Linked DNA regions of Sus scrofa. The protein of the gene in region 2 interacts with the protein of the main gene of each other region in a pairwise test. Links are inferred from orthologs where the notes say so. Each region holds a gene or a part of one and is shown on either strand. Other genes may lie near its edges.

What was found.
Region 1: the proteins of LYAR (region 2) and PRKRA interact in binary tests that used the Homo sapiens proteins (3 or more experiments, as listed by UniProt). The two-hybrid records come from large-scale screens. The link is inferred for Sus scrofa from reciprocal best matches to the Homo sapiens genes LYAR and PRKRA.

Annotation. Positions count from the first base shown.
Region 1 is NC_010457.5:84,153,642-84,158,002, forward strand, and holds the start of PRKRA (interferon-inducible double-stranded RNA-dependent protein kinase activator A), read right to left. Parts: upstream 2,956-4,361; 5' UTR 2,742-2,955; coding exon 2,677-2,741; intron 2,116-2,676; coding exon 1,946-2,115; intron 1-1,945. UniProt on the Homo sapiens protein: Activates EIF2AK2/PKR in the absence of double-stranded RNA (dsRNA), leading to phosphorylation of EIF2S1/EFI2-alpha and inhibition of translation and induction of apoptosis.
Region 2 is NC_010450.4:6,079,909-6,084,301, forward strand, and holds the start of LYAR (cell growth-regulating nucleolar protein), read left to right. Parts: upstream 1-1,423; 5' UTR 1,424-1,588; intron 1,589-4,393. UniProt on the Homo sapiens protein: Plays a role in the maintenance of the appropriate processing of 47S/45S pre-rRNA to 32S/30S pre-rRNAs and their subsequent processing to produce 18S and 28S rRNAs. Also acts at the level of transcription regulation.

The DNA.
Region 1 (4,361 bases), on a different chromosome or scaffold from region 2:
TCAGATGAAATCAATGCTGCTGTTGTTATTCACACTTTGAGAAGTAAGATTGTCAGTCACATTAAGAAATCTGTAATCATCCAGAGGGTGATGTGAAAAACAGAATGGATTTTAAGAAGAGGAAGTATATGAAAAGATATGAATGCCAGAAAGAACACTATGGTTTTTATGTGGAAAATGGACACAAGACTAGAAGCTAAACGAGCAGCTTTGAGACTGTAACTATAATCCAAGTGGCTTGGACAGTAGCAATGTGAAGATGAGAGAAGCAGGCAGATTCAAGATATATTTAGGGGGTGTTCCCGTTGTGGCTCAGTGGTTAATGAATCCATGAGGTTGCGGGTTTGATCCCTGTCCTTGTTCAGTGGGTTAAGGATCTGGCGTTGCCGTGAGCTGTGGTGTAGGCTGCAGATGCAGCACAGATCTGGCGTTGCTGTGACTCTGGTGTAGGCTGGCAACTACAGATCTGATTCAACCCCTATCCTGGGAACCTGCATATGCCATGGGCATGGCCCTAAAAAGCCAAAAAAAAAAAAAAAGAGAGATATTTAGGAAGTAGGGTTTGGTGGCAGACTGGGAAACAAGAGGAGGGAAGGGAAAGGATCAAGAAGATGAAACTCAAATTTCTACTTCGAGCAAATGGGTGATGAAAGGTGCTTCTATTGTGCTGGGGAGTGCAGGGGAAATGGGTTTGAAAGAGAAGATGGATTCATTTTGAGTCAGTGAGAGACTGAGGTGTCTTTGGGTCATCCAAGTGAAAATGTCTAGCAAGCACAGGCTGCTACACTGTTCTGTACCTGGGCCTGAGCTGAAGACAGATTTCAGAATTATCAGCCTTTAGGTAGTATTTGAAGCCATAGACAGATAAGCTTACACAGGAAGACAGGGCAGTGTGAGAAGAGTAGGAGGGCTGAGCAGTTGCCATAGGTTGTTAACCTCGGGGGGGGGGGGGGGGGAGGGGGAGAGCTACTTTTTCTTGAATTTTCATCCAACATTTACAAATAGACCAGCTAAAGCAGTAATGCAATGCTTATTCTATGATTCCTGTGAGGAATCTTCTAGCTAAAATCTAGCTACAATCCACCTGCCCCACACAGACAAAAAAGATCCTGAATTTTTTTTTTTAACGTGGCTTCAATTGAAAATAACGGGGACACAAACAAATGATGCCTTCAGATTACCAGATGGTGGAACTTCAGCCTTCCTGTTGAATATTTTCCTTGGCATTCTTCCAAATTAAATTTAGTAATCAATATTTTTTGTGTTTGCAATTAAATACATAAGAAATAAAATGTCTACAGGTGCAAATGGGCTACTTCAGTTATTATTTGCTCTAGCTCAATGACCATAGGTGAATCTGAATCTTGAAACTTCACTACTATGTGACCTTGGGCATGTTTCTTATAATCTCTCTGAACAGATTTCCTCAACTGTAAAAAAAAAAAAGGGAGATAACATCTTATTTAAAAAACTTGTACAGTGTCAAGAACTAGAAACTGCCACACAACATTGTAGTTGCTTGTTGCTTGCTTAGATAGAGTCCAGCATGGTACAATGGGTCCAAAGTGCCAAATGAGTCCAAACAGAGGGGAGCAGCTCAGAAAATTCTGAGGTCATGCCCTCTGCCATCTGCTATAACCTAAGAAACTTGACACTATCTACTAATTCAGCTATGCCTGCTCCAAGAATCTTTCCCGCTTCTACCTAATTCTTGGAAGAACCCTAGGAGGGTTCCAGGGTATGTTTCTGAGCTTCTCTTAGTATCTAGGGAAGAGAAAATTAGGGAATCAGAGAAGTTGAAACGTCCCAATGATCCGGGAAAGGTCCCAGTTTCAAGAGCCTGCTCCTCAATGATGTCTCTAGGACACTTTTCGGGAACAGAGAAGCAATACCAGCTCTTGACAGCCAACCTACAGGGTCATCAGGGTTAACTGTGCATACAGACCTGTGCAGGTTATGTCACCAACGGTTACTCTGAAGGTGAAAGTGGGCACGTGTATTTGCACATCGGATCTTTCACATTCATAAACCGGGATGTTCTTGGTCTTCATGCCGTATTCATGTAATACCTGAATTGGTGTTTTCCCCGGCTTAGCTGTAATCATCTTCCCCAAACTGCAAAAACCAGAAAAAGCTGTGCTTTGCACGTCAAAACGGGGAGGGAAATAGAAGCATTGAGACTAGTTTTAACAGCCCCTAATGGTGACGCCGAAGGCACCGAAGCTGCCCGTCGGCCAGGGCCAGACTGGAGAGGCTTACCAAGCCTCCGGACCCCGCCGCGGCGGGCAGAGGGCAGGGGGACGGAGGTCTTTAGGGAGATAACTTGAATGCGGGTAGAAGGGAGTAGCAAGGAAATCGGGAGGCACGCACGGGAGTTGCAATCTCCAGTACCAAGCCGACAAAACCCACCGGGGTTGCCGCGTGCTACCTCCGCCCACCCCGCGCAGCCCGAGGTCACAGGAGGGGCGGGGCTGGGCCCTGCTGGAGACCCCGGCCAGCGCGCCAAGAGGGCGGGGCCGAGAGCTAGCCTCCGCTCCAGCAGCAGCAGCCCGGACGCGAGCGCCAGGAAGGGGCTTTACCCAGAATGCCGCTGGATAGCCGGCTCCCCCGCCCCCTCCTCTCCTGCCCACCACTCCTGGCCTTTCCCGGCTCGGTCCCGACCGCCAGGGCACTGACCTGAAGGTCCCGCTGTCCTCGCGCTCCAGCGGCGGAGCCGCAGCGCGATGCCTGCTTTGAGACATGGTGAGAAGGGACGGTTTTCCAGCGGGAGGAAGAGCAGTGCGGAGCTACGTTCTCGCTCACGGGTCGGCCGGTCCCCGAGAGAAGCGATCCGGCGCCGACGCCGCCACCTCCTCCCCTCCTCCGACACCCCTTCTCCTCCCCTCTTGCGTCCCTCCGGGGGACGGGCGGGGGTGGAGCCTCCGTGCAAGAGCACGGTTCCCCGTTCTCCGTTCCCGGCCACGCCCCCTGCTGCCCCAGCTCTGGCGGAGCTCCTCGCCAGCCCCGCCCACCTGCTCTCCAGGCTCTCTAGTGCCCTCCCCGCCCTCCCCGCAGCCCCAGCAGTCCTCAGCTGCAGACGGTGCCCCGCCTTCTGCCCAGCGGCTTGAGGAGACCGCAGTTCTGTGTCCTTAAAAGGAGGCTGTTTCCTGCCTAGAGAGGCTAGTCCGCGGGCTTGCAAGCTTCAGTCTGTGAGGCCTGCAGCTCAGCCTTTTTTTTGAAGGGGTGGGTGGGAGGGGGGGAAGAGGACGATTGCGTCACTTTAAGAAAATGATTTCAAAATTTCAAATGCAAAATTGCCAGAGAGCCTGCCCCGGTCTGGGCCCGAAACGTGAGACTTGCAGTATATCGGCTCCTGAAGGCTGCGGGTGGGCTCGTCCTGTCGCTGAAGCCTGCCATTAGGTGATCGTGGAGACGTAGGGAGACCCACTTTTTTCACCCGGGGTGGGCTTCATTGTCTTCGTCGACTGCTGAGTGCTAGGATAGCGGGTCCCAGCAAGACACCTTAGGTGTAAACGAAGGCTTTTCTTTGAACCCAATTCCAATTAACTGCTGCTTCTGCACACCTGTGTTGCTTGTAATGGCGTTTGCCTGGGATGCACCACCTTTGATGGGACTCAGCTACATGAGATGTCCTATCGCTGCTAGGGGTTTTGCTTGCAGAAATAACCCCTTGTACTTTCTCGTTCTGCTGGATTGCCTGGCACAATACTGATCACACGAAGAGACATTTTTGGAAACTTTTGTTAACTCTCGAACCCTGGATACTTGAAAGCAAAGAAAAAAAATCCGGATCTAATCAAAGTGATTTATATTACTTGAGGCTTGAAACAAGTCTGTTTTTTCTTCCCTCCCTCTTCCCTCTATAGATGTATATCTATTACTATCCATTGTTATGTTTTAATGAATGTCTTATTGAAGGTACCATATAGCCACTACTTCAGAATATGTTAATATCCACATAGCTATGGCAATACATAATTCCAGGACTCAGATTTGTTTCTAAAATTTATTTTTAGCCGTAAAATTCCTAAAAAACAAGCCTAGGAGTTCCCGTCGTGGCGCAGTGGTTAACGAATCCGACTAGGAACCATGAGGTTGCGGGTTCGGTCCCTGCCTTTGCTCAGTGGGTTAAGGATCGGCGTTGCCGTGAGCTGTGGTATAGGTTGCAGATGCGGCTTGGATCTCGCGTTGCTGTGGCTCTGGCGTAGGCCGGTGGCTACAGCTCCGATTCAACCCCTAGCCTGGGAACCTCCATATGCCGCGGGAGCGGCCCAAAGAAATAGCAGAAAGAGAAAACAAACAAACAAACAAACAAAAAAGACAAGCCTAAACTTTATATACTTCTCTAAAGGTTGAGTAAC
Region 2 (4,393 bases):
ATGAGGTTGTGGGTTTGATCCCTGGCCTTGCTCAATGAGGTTAAGGATCTGGCGTTGCCATGAGCTGTGGTGTAGGTTGCAGGGCAGCTCCCCAACCAGTCAGTCAGTCACTCCGGGTGGCCTTGCTGTGGCTCTGGCATAGGCTGGCGGCTACACTCTAATTGGACCCCTAGCCTGGGAACCTCCATATGCCGCGGGAGCGGCCCAAGAAATGGCAAAAAGACAAAAAAAAAAAAAAAGAAGAAGAAATCTGGACGCAGCCACCAAGAAACCAAGGATGGGCATATAGGTAGAAGGGACCACGTAAGAATGCAGCCAGAAAGCGGGCATCCAGGGGCCAACAAGAGGCACCCTCAGAAGGAACCAAACCTGCTGACACCTTGCTCTTGGACTTCTAGTTCCCACAGTGTGCGAAAATAAATGCATTTTGTTCAAGCTCCCCCCGCCCCCGCCCACCCCACCCTCCGGCCAGGCTATGGTATTTTGTGATGGTGGCCCTCGCATACATTCTTACACCCTCCGTTCCAGGCCCAACACTGCGCACCTCCAGAGCGACACCCTCCTTAGGGCTAATGCTTCTCACGATTCCCTGTTTACACCCCGTTCAACTTTCATTCATCATTTAAGCAGCTCACAACTTGGGCAACCACTGCTGTGCGCCGGGCCTGTCTCCAGGGCTAAGAAGAGCAGCCAAGCGATGAAGCGGCAGGCGCTCTACTGAGTGCTTTAGGTTCACCAACTCATGAAATCCTACAAGAACCGCACGAAGGAGGTACTCTTACTACACCTGTTTTAGAGACGCGGGACCGCGGCACAGAGAAGTCGCATGGCAGTGAGACCCGGCCGGGCGCTCCGTAGTCTCAGCACTACTCTCAAGTGCACTGCGATGGAAGGAGCCGGGAGTCGGTCGGGAAGGGACCCGCAGCTTCCCGCGGGCGCAGCCCCGGCGGCCGGGAGCAACGAGCGGGAGGAGGCCGGGTGGGAACGCGGGTGGGGCTTCCAGGCCGAGGGAGCTGCAAGGGGGGTAGGGCCCCGCTCCAGGACCCTGACTCGGCCTTGGCGTTTCTGAGTTAGAGCACGGCGCGGCCGCAGGCTAATTCCCGCGCGACCCGGCAGCTGCACTGACTCTCGCGCTGCCCCAGGATGCGCGAGGGGCGGCGGGTCCCTGCCCTGCCCGGCCCTGAGGCGCCCAGCCGGACTCCGAAACGCTCCCACAGCGCCGGCCCTGCAAGCCCTCGCGAGGCCGGCCTCCCGACCCGGCGCCCACCTTACCCTCGGAGGCCGCTGCCCGCCCCGCCGCCTCCTCTTCACCTGCGGCCGCCGCCCTCAGCGCAGCTCGCGGGGCAACGCCGGCAGCGGAACCATCCCGACAACGCCCCCTCCGCCGCCGGCCCCGCCCTCCGGCTTCCGGTGGCGTCACTTCCGCTAAGGGGGTGTGGCCGCGGCGCGCAAGCGCGGGAGGTTTCAGAAGCGAATTCTGCGCGGGGAAGCTCGAGCGGGAGGTGGCAGCTCTGCTGGGCGGGCGGCGGCGGCGATTCCACGTGCTCCCCGCGGCCGGTTGAAACCGTTGGCGGGCGCTGGCTGAGAGGTAAGGGGCGGTGTCCCAGAGTCCGACCTAGGAGGCTGGGGCTCAGAGGTTGGGGCAGGGGGTGAGCCGCGGCCGATGCCTGCGTCTCCACGGTTAAGAGCCCCTCTTGGCTTGCACGCATGGAAGGAGGAAATGCGTTCAGATCTTTCTCTTATTCTGGGAAAATGAAAGGAGCCCTGGACTTAGAATGGCCAGTTCCTCTGGGTTTTAAAATGGAAAGGTTCTCATGCTGCGAATCCACAGAGGGGGTTCCAACCAGGATGGTTGATCCCCACCGAACTGGGCTGCAGGCTTGCCACCTGTTGGAGAGAAGGCGCTTTTCTTCTTTTAGTCTTGGGGAGCCCAGTCCCCGAGGAGGAGGCCTTAGGGCATAGTGGTTGAGGGCACGGACTTAGGGCCCGTTCGCTGCATGGGAATCCAGATTTGCCACTAACTGGATGCGTGACCATCTGCAAGTTAGTGAACCTGGTCTGTCGGAAGGAAGTAGTATAGACCTAACTCAGGACTTGTGAGGATTACATGAGCACAAACAGCAGGGGTTGGAACATAGTAGATGCCCAATAAATGCCAGGATTTTCTGCAGCGCCTGCCTCTGAGGACACCTTAGGGGAATGAGGTGGGGTGTGGGTATTTGCCAGGCTGCTTTTCTTACAGAGGGCCCACCAGGGACTTCCTGGCCCATCGTCTCCAGTCCCCCAGTGCCTAGCTTAGGGCTTGAAACGGGTAGGGTTCCACAGAGTTACTATACCCCAGTGAAGGAAGGCTCTTTAAATCAGTGCTGGTGATGTAGTGTGTGGGAGGGTATGAGATTGGAACTTGTAGGTAGAGAGACAGGGCTTGATTTCTTACAGCCTCATTTAGGTCATCTGCGAAGTGGAGATGCGTGAGTTTTTGCAAAGAGCAAGGGAGTGTTAAGTGCAGTCCAGACCCTCGTTACCCCACGTTCGTTCTGGGATTTAGGCGTGAAGATGGATGTTTTGTACTTGTCTCTTCTTTCCTTCCAACACATCCTTGCTGTTCCAAGAATGGAATACCAGATGGGGGATGAGAGAACTGAAGTTCAGCGGGGACAGTGACTAGCTCAAGGTCAGGGTGCTCACTGGGGGCTCTTGACAGCTTAGCCCCTTAGGTGGGCTGTTTTGGTGGTGATGGTAGCCATGGGGCTTGGGTCTGCATATGAAAGAAGGTTTTAAGAATAGTTCCTTTTTTTTTTTTTTTTTTTTTGTCTTTTTGTCTTTTTTGTTGTTGTTGTTGTTGCTATTTCTTGGGCCGCTCCCGCGGCATATGGAGGTTCCCAGGCTAGGGGTTGAATCGGAGCTGTAGCCACCGGCCTACACCAGAGCCACAGCAACGCGGGATCCGAGCCACGTCTGCAACCTACACCACAGCTCACGGCAACGCCGGATGGTTAACCCACTGAGCAGGGGCAGGGACCGAACCCGCAACCTCATGATTCCTAGTCGGATTCGTTAACCACTGTGCCACGACGGGAACTCCTTTTTTTTTTTTTTTTTAACTTGCTAAAAAAATATGTAGGGAGGAAGTTTTAAAAAACCATTCCGAATCCAATCCCAGAACCAAACTTGAGCTCCTGTGATTAGGGAACAGAGTCCTAGTGAGGCCTCCATGGGGTGGGGAGCCAGAGGAGACTGGAGTGAGTTTATGAAGATAAATGGGTGGGTTGAGGGTCATATTTAAAGAAGCATGAGTTTGGAGGGGACTGGGAGCAATGTCAGTGATGGGCACATTAATAGATCACAAGAAATTCTACCACTGGGTAAGGAGGAATCCTTCGCATCTGATATTTAACTTTTCCACACCAGGCTCTTAAGATAGACATGAGACCCATTTTCAGATAAACAGATTCTGCAAAGTCTGGGTAGCTTGAAGTCGTTTCATTTTTAATGGGCAGATGTGGGCTTCAGCTCAGGTCCTCTGGCCCAGGCCCAGGTCAGCAGAATGTGGCCACCATCTCGATGAGAGGAGATTGAGGGGCCCGGATTGCTTTGCAAGCTCCCAGCCGCACACTGATGCTGTCTGCTGCCCGTCAGCTCAGTACTGCTGTCCAGTAGCTGCCATCCTTTGCTGTAACACGTGTGGTCTCCTTGCCCAGGGTGGCCTGGCCCTAGGATAAAGACTTAGGGTGCTAGTGTTTTTAAATGAAAGGTCAAGACATATAAGACACCCGAGCCCAGGAGACAGGGTTCTCAAACGTCTTAATGCCGCATCTTTCCAGCTTTTCTAACAAATACGCATTTATCAAGAAACATCATCATTGAACGTTTGATTAAATTCATCCCACATTTATTTAGTCCTTTGAATGAGTTGAGTCTTTGGTTTTAGGCAATGCCAGCAGTCTTCAATTGGAGGGATTGCTTTGTAATTGTGTAGCCTTTCCACTTCTGAAATCGTTAAGCCTGCCCCAAGACTTGCCACACCCTGTCTACTGTGCCCTTAGGGTGGGTTTGAGCTGGCTCTAGTTTATAGCCCCTCCCTCCCACCACAGACTCAAGTATTTCCCCCCCTGGGCTGGATAAGCTCCTGACAGACCTGATCTTCTTAGCGGGCGGGCGGGAGGCCACCCTGCCCCTCTTCGAGATCAAGTATAAAAACGCAGCCCTGGCTCCGAGAATCCAGAGGAAGGCACTGTGAGACTGGGCTCTGACTCTCTGCGAGCCACCCATTCTACCTTAAAAAAATAAACCAACAGATTTCTAAATGTGAACATCTGCCACAAAAGACCAAGTGAGAGGGTTGGAGGGAGAGGTGTTCTTCCCACGGATGTGACCGCGTGTGGCTAATCCC